Linked DNA regions of Lonchura striata. Each later gene encodes a partner of the first gene's protein in a complex. Links are inferred from orthologs where the notes say so. Each region holds a gene or a part of one and is shown in the gene's direction. Other genes may lie near its edges.

Region 1 (7,316 bases):
CTGGGGACACACTGTTCAACGTAGGGGACAGATATTGGCACATTATTGTAAATATAGCACAGGTAGTTTCTGGTATATAATGTTTGTAACATCCCACTGAGGGCAGAGCCCCACACGCTGCCCTGCAGGACAGACCTGCGGCAGGGCAGCAGAACATGTTAGAGATGAGCAAGAATAAACAACCTTGAAACCAGCACAGACGAATTATGACTTCTTCTTTGGCAATGGGGCAGTAAGACAGAGACTTTCTACAATCTCAGAATCATCAATACCTCAGATTCTGACAAAGGTCTGTGGTCTGAGCCTGTGAGCAGAGTAATTTATTATCCCTCCTCCATGTCTGCTGCCTCACAGGAGACAAGAGCATCATCACAGGAGTACATCTGGCCCTTTTGTGTTCAAGTCTCGGAGCAAAATTTGGAAACCTGGAAAACAAACAGAACTGAACAGAATAAAATATTTACTATTGTCTCTGCACAAAGTTCTGAATTTTATACAGGTTTTCCCAGAACAATTCAGATCAATGAAATTACTTTTTGCAAAGTGGAGACGCAGTGTTCTTTGGCAAAAAAATAGCTGCCTGGTCAATCAGTTGAAATTCTAGCTTGGACAAAAACATTTTCCCGTTCAAGGCTGAATTATATGCTGCTGTCTGTAGGGTTAAAGTTCCTCTGCCAGGGTTAAAATTTCCGAAGCCTTTTTTGTCAGTATTTGCATGAAGAACTGCTGGAGCACCATCAACGAGAATTTTTCATGGGGCAGGGGAGTGCTTCCACATTAGCACTTCACAACAGTGAGGCTGACCAGGAGAACTGATCCTAGGATGGCTGCATGGAAACCCATAACTGCAGCACCAGTGTTTTTCCACCCCTCTTTGCTCCCCTCTCAGCAGCTACCATGAATAACAAGCAGGAAAAACAGAGGCAGGTTTTGAAGAGAAATGAGGGCAGTGGTGGGGGGGACGGGGGATGGGCCTGGCTTATGCAAGAGTGGGTATAAAAGGGGGAGCTGACTACCCCTCCAAAATTGGAGAGTGGGGCAAAAGGAGAGAACACACCTCACCGCTGAAAACCAGGTTTGAGAGCTCTGTGTTTCTTTGTACCTTTACTGTGGCTGTTGCAGGGAGAGGTTCTTTAGAAAGCGTGTGTGGGCCACAGGCTTGTTTTGGATAGGGGATGTTTGTAGAACAGCCTTGCTTTCACTCTCTTGGGTTCTTTGTTGCCAGAAAGCTTTTTGCCCAAATTTGGCCCAGTGCAAGTTCTCTGGCACAGCTCTCTTTAAGGGGCAAAATCCTTGGACACCAGAGCTGAAGGGTAGGATAGAGAGAGATAGATAGAGTCTGCTTTTTAAAGTCAAAGCTCTATCTTTAAGCACACTCTCATTCCTAAAACCATGGCAACCCAATAAAAAAACCTGACAAGAGTCCACATTTAGTAATTGGAATAATGCTCATGCACTCCTTCTTAAAAATGTCTCAGAAATAAAATTAAAGACTAACTGTTTTTAAGTACTACTAGGATAAAACATGTTGCAGGTGTGGCAAGATATGTTCTTGGAAATCTGAAACCTTCTCCTTTAGAAGAAAGTGTTAAAAGATAAAGGACAAAGATCTAAGAAGTGTGCTGGTGTGTGATGCATCTTAATAGCGGAATATTAATTGAATGAGCACAAGTGACTGGAGAATGAGGGAGGGAACTGTATCTGAGCTTTGTAGTGGTGTGTGAATATAAGGTGAAATTGAAGGCTCTTCCTCATTACTGAGGCCAGCCAAATTCCCAGTGGCTGAGGAAGGAGGAGGCAAGAGGAGGACTGTGGTGAAAACAGGACATTGAACATTACCTGGTGAAACTTCTTTTTCTAGATAAAGCTAGGTATTTTTATTTGATTACTTTATTGATGTGGAGGCAAGGGTGGGGGGCAAAAGATAGCCTTCTGTGATCCTCAAAGACACTGACCAGTTTTTATCGACAGAAAATCATAGAACTGAGGGCACAAACACCAAAAGACACCCAAGGATCAACTTGGTTGAAAACCCTGAGAATATTCAACTTTCTTTATGAGGCAGAGCCCCCAGACCCACATACTAGATTTGTTGTTCAGGTGACTCCTGCTCCTCCTTTTCTTCAGAGCAGCATCCCCTGCAGCCAGGGCTGCCTGTTTAGGGCTGGTACTTACAGCACAAGGAGACCCACAGCTGCAGCATGGCTTGGTCATGACCTTCAGGGGAGCTGGAAGCAGGAGATACCCAAACAACAGCATTGTCTGAATGCTGCAGAATAAAGGCATAATTATCTAAGGAAAAAAACTACAGTGGGTGAGGGGTTTGTGATTTCCCCTTTCAGTGTTTATTGTCCACAGCAAACATGTAAGTCTTACAGCTGTATTATCTGTTATTAACATCACTTGTAGCTTATTAGCCAAAGCCAGTAATTAATTTAATAAGGATACTTTTCAGAGTTTTGCAGAATACAAGGTGCCTTTCCATGAAACAACTTTCATTTGTGTGTCCTCAATTCAGAGAGTACTGGGATGGGTTTTCTTTTCACCTTTGTTCAAACCTCATCTAGGGGGATGGAGCAGACCAGCTCTAGCTCACAGGCTCGGCATGGTCTGGCCATTCATGTGCACTGCACTGCCTGCCTAGTGCCTCAGATGGACCCATATGGGTGGTGGTGCAGAAGAAACAGATTTGCATGTCCCACCACAGCTCCACTGGCCTCTAAGGGACCAGCTGGCTCCCCAGGTCTGCCTGGGGAAAGGAGTCTCCAGGGTAGAGGGGAAAGAAGGGGGACCTGAAAGGGGGACTTGATCTCTTAGCATTTAGCTGAGCAATATGCATTTTTCATTTTTCATCCTTCTCCCTTTGCCTGTATTCTCTGTTCAGCTAGAAGCATTTTAAGTCTGGGGGTGGTACAAATGCTCAGGGATTGTTCTGTGGGCAGATGCTTCCTCAACTGAGATGCTCAGGCAGCAAGAGGACAAAACACCTTGAAAGTTTCAAGCTGTTTGTTTAAGCCTTCAGTGCATGAGAGCATGGTATACAAGCCTGGGCTCAGAACCACTTTTGGACCTCTTTGTAGTGAAGGTAATCAGATTGTTTAAATGAAAAGCAGGACTGCAGAGACAGAAATTTCTCATCTCTTTGCTGTCAGGCATCTGGCACACAGCCCTTGGGCTGGCAGGACTCAGCTGCCCCTGTCTCCACCTTCATTTCCACCAGCTCCAGCTGCCCAGGCATGCTGAAAACATCCCCCTCTCTCAGCTCTCTCCTTGAACCCAACATGTAGCTGGAGTACAAAACATGCCTGACTGGCCCTCTAAAATCAAAGCACAGATGACAAATCAACCCTACTCCTATTAGAGCCATGGGACTAAGAATAAAGGGTACTGAACAAGACCCAGTCTAACAAATTGCATTTGATTCACTGTTTACATGCTTAAATAGGAAGAAGGGGTACACCAAAATTGAAAGATTGTTTCAAAAGCAGCTCAAAGATCTGCAAATCCCAACCCCTTTTCCCAAACAAGACTTGAGAAGCTGACACTGGGAGGGATGAAGTCTTTGTGATCCAGCTCTGGCAATCTCACCTACCTGGCTTTCATCTTCTCCATTTCAACACATCTTGTTCAAGAGGAGAAAGAACAAAGCCTTGACATTCTGAACAGTTCAAGAGGGAAAGAAGGGGTAAAAATTAAGAGCTTAATCACTTTATTCTGCAGTAGCATACACATCTCACACACTGGTGGGTCCCCAGGCTGCAAGGGAGAGATTAAAGGCAATTTATCCGTGAAGCCAAAAAATCTGATCCAACTGTACAACAAATATAAGTACAAAGGAATCTGCATTCCTTTCAGTCTGTCACAAAATGATGTCTTTCCTATAATCAGTTATTCTACGCAGTAAAACCGCCGGTGTCTGCCTTGGTGAATGTGTAACTGCAGGCTACACAGGTGTGCTGGGGCTGGCTAAAGGTTGTGTATCCATCCCTGGAACTTTCTGCGAAGCCACTGTTGAGCCGGGCTCAGGTCTCATTGGCCTGAGGTAACTTCTGTCAGCCCCAGGCTGTGATGCAAAGCGGTTTTGCGCAATGCCGCAGCCACGCAGGAAGGGCAGAATTGCACCGCGTCCCGCCACCCCGGGACAGGTGTCGTGGGGAGCTCGCCTGAGGGACAGCGGCATCGGAGGGGCAACAAAGGGGTGACACCCCAGCACAGAGGCGAGTACGCGCTCTTCGTGCATTTGCTTTGAGTGCTGCTTTTCCATGCTTTTCCAAAGGGCTTGGGGCTCTCTCCTTTAGCCAAATAAACCACGCTGACTTTCCACAGATGGCGCTTAGGGTAAGTGCTTGGCAGTGAGAACTGCTCCTCTTGCTTCTGGACATGGAACAAATGCTGAACAGAGCTGGGGGCTCTGGCAGCCAGAGAGAAGTGACCGCTGGGTGCCAGCGGTGCCTAATGGCACAGCCTGCCTGGGTGGCATAGGGTCACCCTCCCTGCTGTGCAGAAAAGATTAAGAAATGCCTCAAAATAATTTTGTGATGGAGAAAACAGTGTAGGAAAGGAATTCCTTCTAATTTGTGGCTTTTTGGTTCATTTTCCTGAGCATGCCAATGTGAAAAATGCATTGAGTAGTTTAGAAATCCACTAGCACAGAAGCTGGGCTAACTGTGAAAGTGAAGTTAGGAAGGCACCTCCTAAGATAATTTTTTTAACCAGTCACAAGAAATGAATATGCTCTGTCATGCATGTCACATGCTACCAGTGTAGTTGGGGAGGTGAAGAGGGGACGGGAGCAGAGCGGACAGCAGCACGACTGTGCTGCCCATACAGTAATTTAGAGGATGAAGTGGGAGTTAATGGGGAAGAACAATCCTTGAGTGAAGACACAAGGACAGGGATCTACAGCAGCTCCTCCCCTGCATGCCTCTGGGGAGCAAATAGTTTCAGGCTTGACCCAAGAGCATACAGTAGGAAGACACTTAGACATCCTAAGGGACCATTACAGCACCATAAATTCCATTTGCAAAACCAGTTACAGCCTGGGAATGCAGATGTCCATGTTAGCAGTCAGATTACCTAGCAAGGTATGTCTAGTTACCAAGCATCTGCACATCTCAGTTTTTGTATGTGCAACAGAGTGGTGGCACTGCAAACTGGGCTATTATTAGGCATTAAATACTTGGGGACCCCTCAGGGGAAAGAATATGGTTATACATTGTAAATTAGGCTGGGAAGGGGCCAGGTCTTGAATAGCTGGATTTATACACAAGTACTTCCACCCTGCGTAAAGTGTTGATGAGACAGACATTGCTCTGTGTGCTCTCAAAAGGCTCAGACTACCAGAAGTACAATACCTGACAGACTGGAGTGACTCAAAAAGCCTTGGAGGAAGAAAGCACAGATCAGGGCTTGGGTACTGGCAAGGCTGATAGCATTTTGCCCATCCAATGAGCTCTGCAGAACTTGAAATGAGTGAAAGAGAGTGAACAAAGCTACAAAAAACAAGGAATTACTAGTAGAATAAAAATACAGCTCTGAATAACAGTATTTTGGCTGATGATATATTTTACAGATGCATAATTTTCAACACATTTCAGTTTGGATTTCAAATACACAGATAAAAAGTATATACTAGAAGTCCAAGAAAGGTACAGCAGAGCTATTAGTTATCAAAAAGCTTGATATTATAAAAGAGAGAATTCTAAAAATATAAAATTTGTCAACAGGTATAATGTGTCTGCGTGTGTGTGTGTGTGTGTCCATGACATTCTAGTCCCAATTTCCATTATATCCTTTGTGCTAAAACACCAGAGACATCCACACACAGTAAAATTCTCTGCTTCTTGTCAGGAAAAACAAGAGCTGCAAGTGGTCTTTTACCTCAGGAGAAGACTGCTTGCACAGCTGAGTAAAACTCAGCCTACTCCTTCTAACTCTGTAGTCAGACACAGAAGATGAAATGAAAAATGATTTCAGTGTGAGCACATTTGTATAAGGGAGCCTGGAGTGTTTGCCTAAGAGCTAGAATGAATGTTTGCACTGGGCTATGAAAACATAACATGCTCTGCTAGTGCCAAGTATTTTGCTGACTAGACATACAAAGCAGGACCGTACTGTGTTTGGACCTTAAGAGAACTGGTTTCCAAACCTACTTCCTGCATATAAGCAGGCACATTGCTTAGCCTATGTGTCAGCAAGGGTCAGTGCAGCAGTTTGCAGAGATGGATGGTTCTGACCAGGTCCCAGGAAAAAATGTTTTTGCATTTGTTGCAAAACAAATGTTTTGCAGAAGTAGCATGATCTAGTTTGCAGGCATAACCAGGATCCACAGCCATTCCCATGAAAAATCCTTAGGGTACTGCAGTGGGTAATGGAGTCAGGTCTGTGCTTGCCATTTCCCACCTGTTACCATTGAAACTGGTGTCTGTCTCATCCTGGGCTTTTTAGGGGCAGAGTCAGACCAAACAGCACTAAATACTGAAATTCTCACTTTTGTAACTCCAACACAGCACTAGTACCTCCCACTGTGATTAAGAGAAACTCTACTTGAAACACCTGACCAGACTCCTTTCCTTCGAATTTTTTCTTTCAGCAGACACAGTGGAGGCAATTTCCCAACATGAATCTGGTAGCAGATCTTCTCTACTTGTCGGCTTGCCTTACCATGGTGACTTGTGACCGGGTCTACGTCCACCCTTTCACTTTGTTTTGTTTCAATGAGAGTGACTGTGACAAGCTGGAAAAATTGGTTCAGGAGGGAAAGACTATTGTCCCTGTGTCCATTGAGTCCCAAACCACACCCGAATATGAAGCTGGCATGAACGAGAACAAGTTGGAAGCCCCAAGCCTCAGCACCTGGGGGAAGGAGGAACGGAGCTACCTGAGTGACTTGGTGTATGTCCTGGGCATGAGGTTTTACAGCGTGCTGCAGAAAGCTCAGAGGGGCCAAAACGTGCTCCTGTCCCCAACCAGCCTCTACAGCTCCTTGGTCTCATTCTACCTGGGGGCCTCAAACCAGACAGCGCTTGATTTGCAGGGTTTGCTGGGATTTGTTCCCCCCTCTGGCAATCCTGACTGCACTTCCACGGCAGTCGGAAGCAATTTCCTTTCCAGCCTGAGGACGATCGAGAGGCTTGTGAAGAGTGGGGACGAGGAGCTGCTCTTTTCCAACACACTGAGCTTGTTCTCTGCCCCTGGCGTACCCCTCTTCCAGCTGTTCATGGAGCACTTGCTCCCCAGCGCTGATGCATTCTATGCCCGAGCTGTTGACTTTGCAAATCCAGACGAGGCAGCAAAACAAATAAATGCCTTTGTGG
Region 2 (7,186 bases), on another chromosome or scaffold:
AAGAGCGCAGGGAGCTGCCTGTGGAAGGGGTTCTTTTGTCAAGGTTCCTGAGCCCAGGTTTATCAAAGATGCAGCTGCGGAGGGGCTGTGGCCCATGGTCATGGTCCCTCTGTCCCCAGGGAGGCCTCTCAGCTGCTCCTTCCCGCGCCGTGTCGGCTGTGAAGAACATCAACCTGCCCGAGATCCCCCGCAACATCAACATCGGGGACATCAACATCAAAGTGCCCAACCTGTCGCAGTTCATGTGAGCAGCCCGTGCTGGGGGCTGCCCGCCAAGCAGAGCGGGGGTCCCGGGCTCCTCCCGGGGCTCTGCATGTGCCACACAGGGGCCGATGGTGGCCGAGGGCAGGGAGCGGTGACAGGGCTCAGAGAACGAGCTGGGGAGTCCCTCCCTCTGGACCTGGGCTCAGCTCTGCTCTCTGGTCCCCCAACAAGGAGGGTGCTCTTCCTTCCCCTCGCTCCCTGGGGACACACAGCCTCTCCTTGCTGTGGGGAAGGGCTGGCTCCTGCCTCTCCCGGGGTTCTTGGGATTCCCAGAGGTGAGAGTGTGCCTGTAGTGGCACTGTCAGGAGCTGCAGGTTGTCTGCTCCACCCTCCCAGCCGTGGCTGTGCCCTGCCCTGGTCCTGCTCTCTGTGATGGGCCCCGGCTGAGTGGGGATCCCTCATGGGAGCTGCTGTGTGCCCGGGGGACAGTGAGTGGGACATGCTGGGGCAGGAATGGCAGCAAGAGGGACAGGAGCTGAGTGACCTGGGGGCTTGCAGGGCCAGGCCAGGCTGGGGCAGGCTGGGGCTGCTGGAGTGGGTCCCTGTGTCCCAATAAACTGCCCTTGAACCCGTGTCTGTGTCTGCTGTGGGTGCTGCTGGAAGGGGAGGGGGCCGGGGGCTCTGTGCAGCTCTCCTGGGGCAGCTGCAGCCCTGGGGGGCTTTTGGCTGGTGGAGGCCCAGGGGGTGGGAAAGGGGGCCCCAGAGCCCCAGGGGAGGGCAGGGGCCTTAGGGCAGCGTCCCTGGCTGCACCCGCTGCTCTCAGAGCAGGCATGGGGATGGTGATGGCCACGATGGCTGTGACAATGTCCCCAGCTTTGGGCCTTTAGTGGCAGTTCACCCTTTGCCAGTTCCTGCCCTCTCCCTGCTGCAGGGCAGCAGCTCTGTGAGCTCTGACCGCTCTGTGGGTGTGTGGGAGCTGTGGGGCTGGGGTCCTCTGAGGTTGGGGAGGAGCAGGGCTTGTCCTGGGGGATCACAGTGACCCTGATGGGCTCTGTCAGCCATGTACCCCACGCCCCTGGCTCCACCAAAGCTCCATCTGGCCACCAGCCCCTGGGCCTGGCCAGAGGCCCTTCCTCTGCTCCCCAGCTGTGCTCCAGGTTCTGCCTCCACTTCCCCTGGCAGGGAAACCGTGACTCTGCCTAGAAGGAATTTCCCCTCCCTGCAGCTTAACCCTTCCGCAGCTGGCCACTAGCCACATCAGCCCTCCTGGAGGTCAAGGAGCTGGGCAACCTGCTGTGTCCTCTTCTCCGCTGGCTCTCCTCTCCCTCCGCTTCCTCCTGTTCCTCCTCCTCCTCCTCCTCCTCCTCCTCCTCCTCTTGTAGGTGCCGGCGAAGGGTGCAGGTGAGCCATCGTGCCTGGGCTGTGTCCCGGGGCTGGGACGCGGAGTCTGGCAGGACTGGGGCGGTCGGAGGGGACCGCTCCAGCTCACCTCACGGTGAGGGGGGCGGCGAGGCCCCGTGCCGCTGGGGCCGTGTCCGGCCACTCGTGCTCCCCGTGCACCGCCCGTGGCGGCTCCGCTACCGGCTCCGGCCCCGCCGCCCCGGCCCGGCCGCTCTGCGGGGCGTGCGAGGCTGGGGCCGGGATCCCCTCTGCCAGGATCCCCTCTGCCGGGATCCCCTCTGCCAGGATCCCCCCTGCCGGGATTCCCTCTGCCGGGAGCCCCTCTGCCGGGCAGGAGCCGGGCAGCAGCCGGGCCGGAGCCAGGCAGGAGCCGGGCAGCAGCCGGGCAGGGGCACGGGAAGGAGCCGGGCAGCAGCCGGGCAGGGGCACGGGAAGGAGCCGGGCAGGAGCCGGGCCGGAGCCGGGCAGGAGCCGGGCAGCAGCCGGGCAGCAGCCGGGCAGGGGCACGGGAAGGAGCCGGGCAGGAGCCGGGCCGGAGCCGGGCCGGAGCCGGGCAGCAGCCGGGCAGGAGCCGGGCAGGAGCCGGGCAGGGGCACGGGAAGGAGCCGGGCAGCAGCCGGGCCGGAGCCGGGCAGCAGCCGGGCCGGAGCCGGGCAGGGCCGCCAGGAGCCGGGCAGCAGCCGGGCCGGAGCCGGGCAGGGCCGCCAGGAGCCGGGCAGCAGCCGGGCCGGAGCCGGGAAGGAGCCGGGCCGGAGCCGGGCAGGGCCGCCAGGAGCCGGGCAGGGGCACGGGAAGGAGCCGGGCAGCAGCCGGGCCGGAGCCGGGCCGGAGCCGGGCCGGAGCCGGGCCGGAGCCGGGCAGGAGCCGGGCAGCAGCCGGGCAGCAGCCGGGCCGGAGCCGGGCCGGAGCCGGGCCGGAGCCGGGCAGGAGCCGGGCAGGGGCACGGGAAGGAGCCGGGCAGGGGCACGGGAAGGAGCCGGGCAGCAGCCGGGCCGGAGCCGGGCAGCAGCCGGGCAGCAGCCGGGCCGGAGCCGGGCAGGGCCGCCCGCGGGGCGCAGGAAGGGGCAGCAGCGCGGGCGGACCCCGCTGGCCCCGCGGAGCGCAGGAAGGTGAGGGGGAGCTCGGCTGCCGCGGGCGCTGCACGGCCCAAGCAGGGCCAGCCTTGGGCTGGACCGAGCGGGGAAGGGGCTGCGGGGGCTGCGGGGTGTGCGGCGAGCCGTGCGGCTCACATACATGGGGGCTATGGGGCCCGTATGCAGTGCGGGGTTTGGGGGGTCTGTGGGGGTTCATGACGGCGTGGAGGGCGCTGGGGGGTGTCAGGCTGTGGGGTGCGTGAGGCCAGAGCCCCAAGGGCCCCCGTGCCCACGGGGACGACACCAAACCCTGTGGGAGATGTGTGTGCTGCTGGCCGGCTCCAGGGAGGGGTCGTGTGGGGTGGGACAGTCCTGCAGGCTGGGTGCTGTGTCTGCTGCTCCCCGTTAACCCCATCCAGCCCCTCCATCCAGCCCCTCCATCCAGCCCCCCCTGCGTGCTGTGCCCCCGGGGCTATGGGGAGGGCCAGCAGGCCCACTGGCACGGGACAGGGGGTGTGCAGAGTGCCGGGCACCTTCCCAGTCACCCGTGGCCTTGGTCCCGTGGGGGACTGTCCCCAAAGCCTTTGGCCAGGGCCAGCGTGGGGATGGTTCTGAGAGAGCCAGCAGTGACCTCTGGGCCTGGAGCATTGCTGTGCCTGACAGGGAGTGCCAGGGACACCAGCAGCATCCAGAGGGATTTGTGCAGGTGCATCTGGGTGCTGCCTGGGACAGGGCAAGGGCTCCCTGAGGACACCACTCACTCATCCTGGTTTGCCCTTTGCCCCAGCTGTGGCTTCTGGCAGCACCTTCCCATATCTCCCAATGGAGAGATCGATTAGATCCTGAGAACGGGACTTCCTATTTCTTCCCAGTGTGTGACAGGATGTGTTACCCACCCCCACCCCACCCTGGGTGGGGACCTCACCTATGCCCACTGGGGCTGGGCTCACAAGGACGGAGTTTGACCCCACTGCCTCCAGAATTGTGACCCTGGACTTTGAGAGGGCTGTGAGCAGAGGGAGCTCCTCCCAAGTGTCCTCCCCCACATTCCCGTGCCGTTCCTAGACCCCTGTGCTGCACTATGCTGCTCCGCTTTGCCTGGGTGGGGCAGCCTGTGGGCTGTGCCCCCCGCACGCAGGGACAGCCCGGACCCTCTGAGAGTGGCTCAGACACTGTCACTCGAGGGTGGATGGGGTGACGCTGAGTCTGCATCTGGGCTCGGCTGCTGGGGACACATGCCAGGCCCCGCAGCACGGCGTGGATGTGGCTGCTGGCTGCGACCACCTGCTCTGTCCCTCCTGCAGGGCCAGGCCAGCGCTGGGAAGGACGCCGGGGTCCAGGCCCGCAGCCCGTGCACGCTCCCCGATGGTGCCACCCCGCACCGCCAGCTCTGCCCCTGCAGCAGCGGCGCCGGGCCTTGGTGCTCCTGCCAGGCTGGGAGGCGGGCGGGAGGAAAGCTCATCCCAGGGTCTGTCGCCGCCCTGAACCCCATGGCCATTTAATCCTTCACCCATTAACTTGGACTAATAAACCTCGTGGGAGCGAGAGGCTAAAAGCCGTGCTTGCACCAGCGCCGTCCCCGCCAGTGCCGCTCCTGCTGCCCGCCATGGCAGGCGGCTTCTTCATCAGCAAGACCGTGGGCATCGTGGCCATTGTGCTGGGCCTGGGGGCTGTGGCCACCATCATTGCACTCTCGGTGGTGTACGCCCAGGAAAAGAACAAGGGGGTATCAGATGTGGGCACCAGCACCACGGCCAGCCCGGGCACTGGCACCACGGCCAGCCTGGGCACCAGCACCACGGCCAGCCCGGGCACTGGCACCACGGCCAGCCTGGGCACCAGCACCACGGCCAGCCCGGGCACCAACACCACGGCCAGCCCGGGCACCAGCACCACCACCCCTGCACCCAACAATCCCTGGAACCAGTGGAGGTTGCCAGCCACGCTGAAGCCGGAGTTCTACGAGGTATCCCTGCAGCCCTTCCTGAAGCCAGATGCCAACAACATGTACATCTTCAAGGGCAACAGCAGTGTGGTCTTCATGTGTGAGAAGGCCACCGACCTCATCCTCATCCACAGCAAGAAGCTGAACTACACCATGCAGGGCTCCTTCCATGCCACCTTGCAGGCAGAGGGTGGTGGCAATGCCCCTGCCATCTCCCGCACCTGGCTGGAGACTCCCACCGAGTACCTGGTGGTGCAGCTGGGCGCTCCTCTGCAGCAGGGCCAGCGGTACCGGCTGTCCAGCAGCTTCACCGGGGAGCTGGCCGATGACCTGGCTGGCTTCTACCGCAGCGAGTACACGGACGAGTCAGGCAGCAAGTAGGTGGAGGGCAGGGGTGGGGTGGAAGCCACAGCGCTGGCCCAGTGTGGTGCTGGGAAGGGGAATGGGGGCACGGGGCTGGCACGGGGCAGTGGAGGGCATGAGCTGGCTTTGGGGCTCCTCTCCCACCAGGACTGTGGGATGGGTGTGTGGAGCCTCTGTGCCGCCCTTGCATCCTCATGCTGCCCTGGTGGGGGTGGGAGAAAGGGCACTGGGGGGTGCGGCCTCCACAGGGACCCCCAGGACTGATGGGGCTGGCTCACAGGCAGGTGGTGGCCACCACGCAGATGCAGGCGGCTGACGCACGCAAAGCTTTCCCCTGCTTCGACGAGCCGGCCATGAAAGCCAACTTCACAGTGACGCTGATCTACCCGTCTGGCTATGAGGCCATTTCCAACATGCCTGCCAAAAGTGAGTGGGGCAGGGGAGCCCCGCTGGGGGGCTGGGGACCTGGCAGAGCTGTGGGGTGATTCTCTGATCTCCACAGACACCAGGGAGCAGGTGATTGATGGAGTGACCTGGAACGTCACTGAGTTTGACACCACTCCCCGGATGTCCACGTACCTGCTGGCCTTCATTGTCAGCCGGTTCAGCCACGTGGAGAGAATATCAAACAACACACTGGTAGGATGAGGTGGGGTGCACCCCCTGCCCACCTGGGTGGCTGAGCCTGGGCCACTGATGAGTCCTGCATCCTCCTCTCCAGATCCGCATTTGGGGCCGCCCCAAAGCCATCAGCGAGGGCCAGGGCGACTACGCACTCAATGTCACTGGTCCCATCCTCAACTTCTTTGAGGATCATTACAACACGTCCTACCCGCTCCCCAAGTCTGGTGGGTGCTGTGGGGCACCTGGGGCACTGGGCTGAGGTACCCACCGCAGGGGGGAAGATGGTCCAGCGTGCTGCCAGCGGGGCACTGACAGGACCCCTCCGCCCCCAGACCAGGTCGGCCTCCCCGATTTCAATGCGGGCGCGATGGAGAACTGGGGGCTGGTGACCTACCGGGAGAACTCGCTGCTCTTCGATGCTGTGTACTCCTCCATTGGCAACAAGGAGCGGGTGGTGACCGTCATCGCCCACGAGCTGGCACACCAGGTACCTGCTGCGCCCCCGCCCGCTCCCCTGGCTGATGGCTGGCGGCTGAGGGAGTGCTGTGCCCTCTGCAGTGGTTTGGGAATTTAGTGACGCTGCGGTGGTGGAACGACCTGTGGCTGAACGAGGGCTTCGCCTCGTACGTGGAGTACCTGGGTGCCAACTCTGCTGAGCCCTCCTGGAACATTGTGAGTGCCCGGGACGATGGGCGCGGGGGCAGGTGGGGCGGCAGGCACCCCGGGGCTGCCCCGGTGCCAGGCGCTACGCGCGGCGCTGAGGCGGGTGCCGGTGCCCCCTCTGCAGAAAGACCTGATGGTGCTGAACGAGCTGCATGCCGTGATGGCAACGGACGCCCTGGCCAGCTCCCACCCGCTCTCCTTCCGCGAGGAGGAGATCAACACCCCGGCCCAGATCAGCGAAGTCTTCGACAGCATCTCCTACAGCAAGGTGTGCACGGGGGTCCCTGGGGTGGGGATGGACTCTGGGCCGTCCCTGGCTTCTCTCACCTGCTGTCCCTGCAGGGAGCATCGGTGCTGCGCATGCTCTCAAGCTTCCTTAGCGAGGAGGTCTTCAAGAAGGGGCTGCAGGTGAGGTGCTGCTGGTACTGGGGGGCGGCGAGCCCAGTGCGGGGTGGGATCCCATGGTGGAGGCCTTCCTGGCTGCTCTAGGGGGGTCCCACACCCCAGACTTGTCCTTGCTCACCCATCTCTCCTGATGCTCTCCCACAGTCCTACCTCCACACCTTCTCCTACAGCAACACCATCTACACTGACCTCTGGGTCCATCTGCAAGAGGTAGGAGCGGGCTGGTGCTCCTGCAGCATCCCCGGCCCGGGCTCTGGGGGGCTGCCTGGTGGGACAGGGTCCCACGTGCCGGGGAGGGTTGCAGCACTGGCCGAGCCCCACGCTGGCCGTGCCCCTGGCCCTGGTGACCAGTGGCGCTGCCATCCCGCAGGCGGTGAAGAACAACAACGTCCAACTGCCTGACACTATCAGCAACATCATGGACCGCTGGACGCTGCAGATGGGCTTCCCTGTGGTCACTGTTGACACCCGCAGCGGCACCGTCAGCCAGACCCATTTTCTGCTGGAT

Evidence for each region. Proteins that work in one complex are often made in the same cells at the same time.
Region 2: the proteins of AGT (region 1) and ANPEP are in contact, whole or in part, in a crystal structure (PDB 4FYS), measured with the Homo sapiens proteins. The link is inferred for Lonchura striata from reciprocal best matches to the Homo sapiens genes AGT and ANPEP. Residues at the interface, in NP_001369746.2 of Homo sapiens: Val27, Tyr28, Ile29, His30, Pro31, Phe32; in NP_001141.2 of Homo sapiens: Gln211, Gln213, Ala351, Gly352, Ala353, Met354, Glu355, Arg381, Val385, His388, Glu389, His392, Glu411, Glu418, Asn438, Arg442, Phe472, Tyr477, Ile864, Phe896, Ser897, Asn900, Gln903, Ala904, Arg907.

Annotation. Positions count from the first base shown.
Region 1 is NC_134605.1:42,847,786-42,855,101, forward strand, and holds the start of AGT (angiotensinogen), read left to right. Parts: upstream 1-4,223; 5' UTR 4,224-4,326; coding exon 4,327-4,338; intron 4,339-6,592; coding exon 6,593-7,316. UniProt on the Homo sapiens protein: Essential component of the renin-angiotensin system (RAS), a potent regulator of blood pressure, body fluid and electrolyte homeostasis.
Region 2 is NC_134613.1:24,301,138-24,308,323, reverse strand, and holds the start of ANPEP (aminopeptidase N), read left to right. Parts: upstream 1-4,104; 5' UTR 4,105-4,284; coding exon 4,285-5,000; intron 5,001-5,266; coding exon 5,267-5,412; intron 5,413-5,488; coding exon 5,489-5,625; intron 5,626-5,707; coding exon 5,708-5,834; intron 5,835-5,942; coding exon 5,943-6,097; intron 6,098-6,168; coding exon 6,169-6,282; intron 6,283-6,397; coding exon 6,398-6,541; intron 6,542-6,615; coding exon 6,616-6,681; intron 6,682-6,822; coding exon 6,823-6,888; intron 6,889-7,048; coding exon 7,049-7,186. Other genes in the region: AP3S2 (AP-3 complex subunit sigma-2), read left to right, coding at 120-248. UniProt on the Homo sapiens protein: Broad specificity aminopeptidase which plays a role in the final digestion of peptides generated from hydrolysis of proteins by gastric and pancreatic proteases.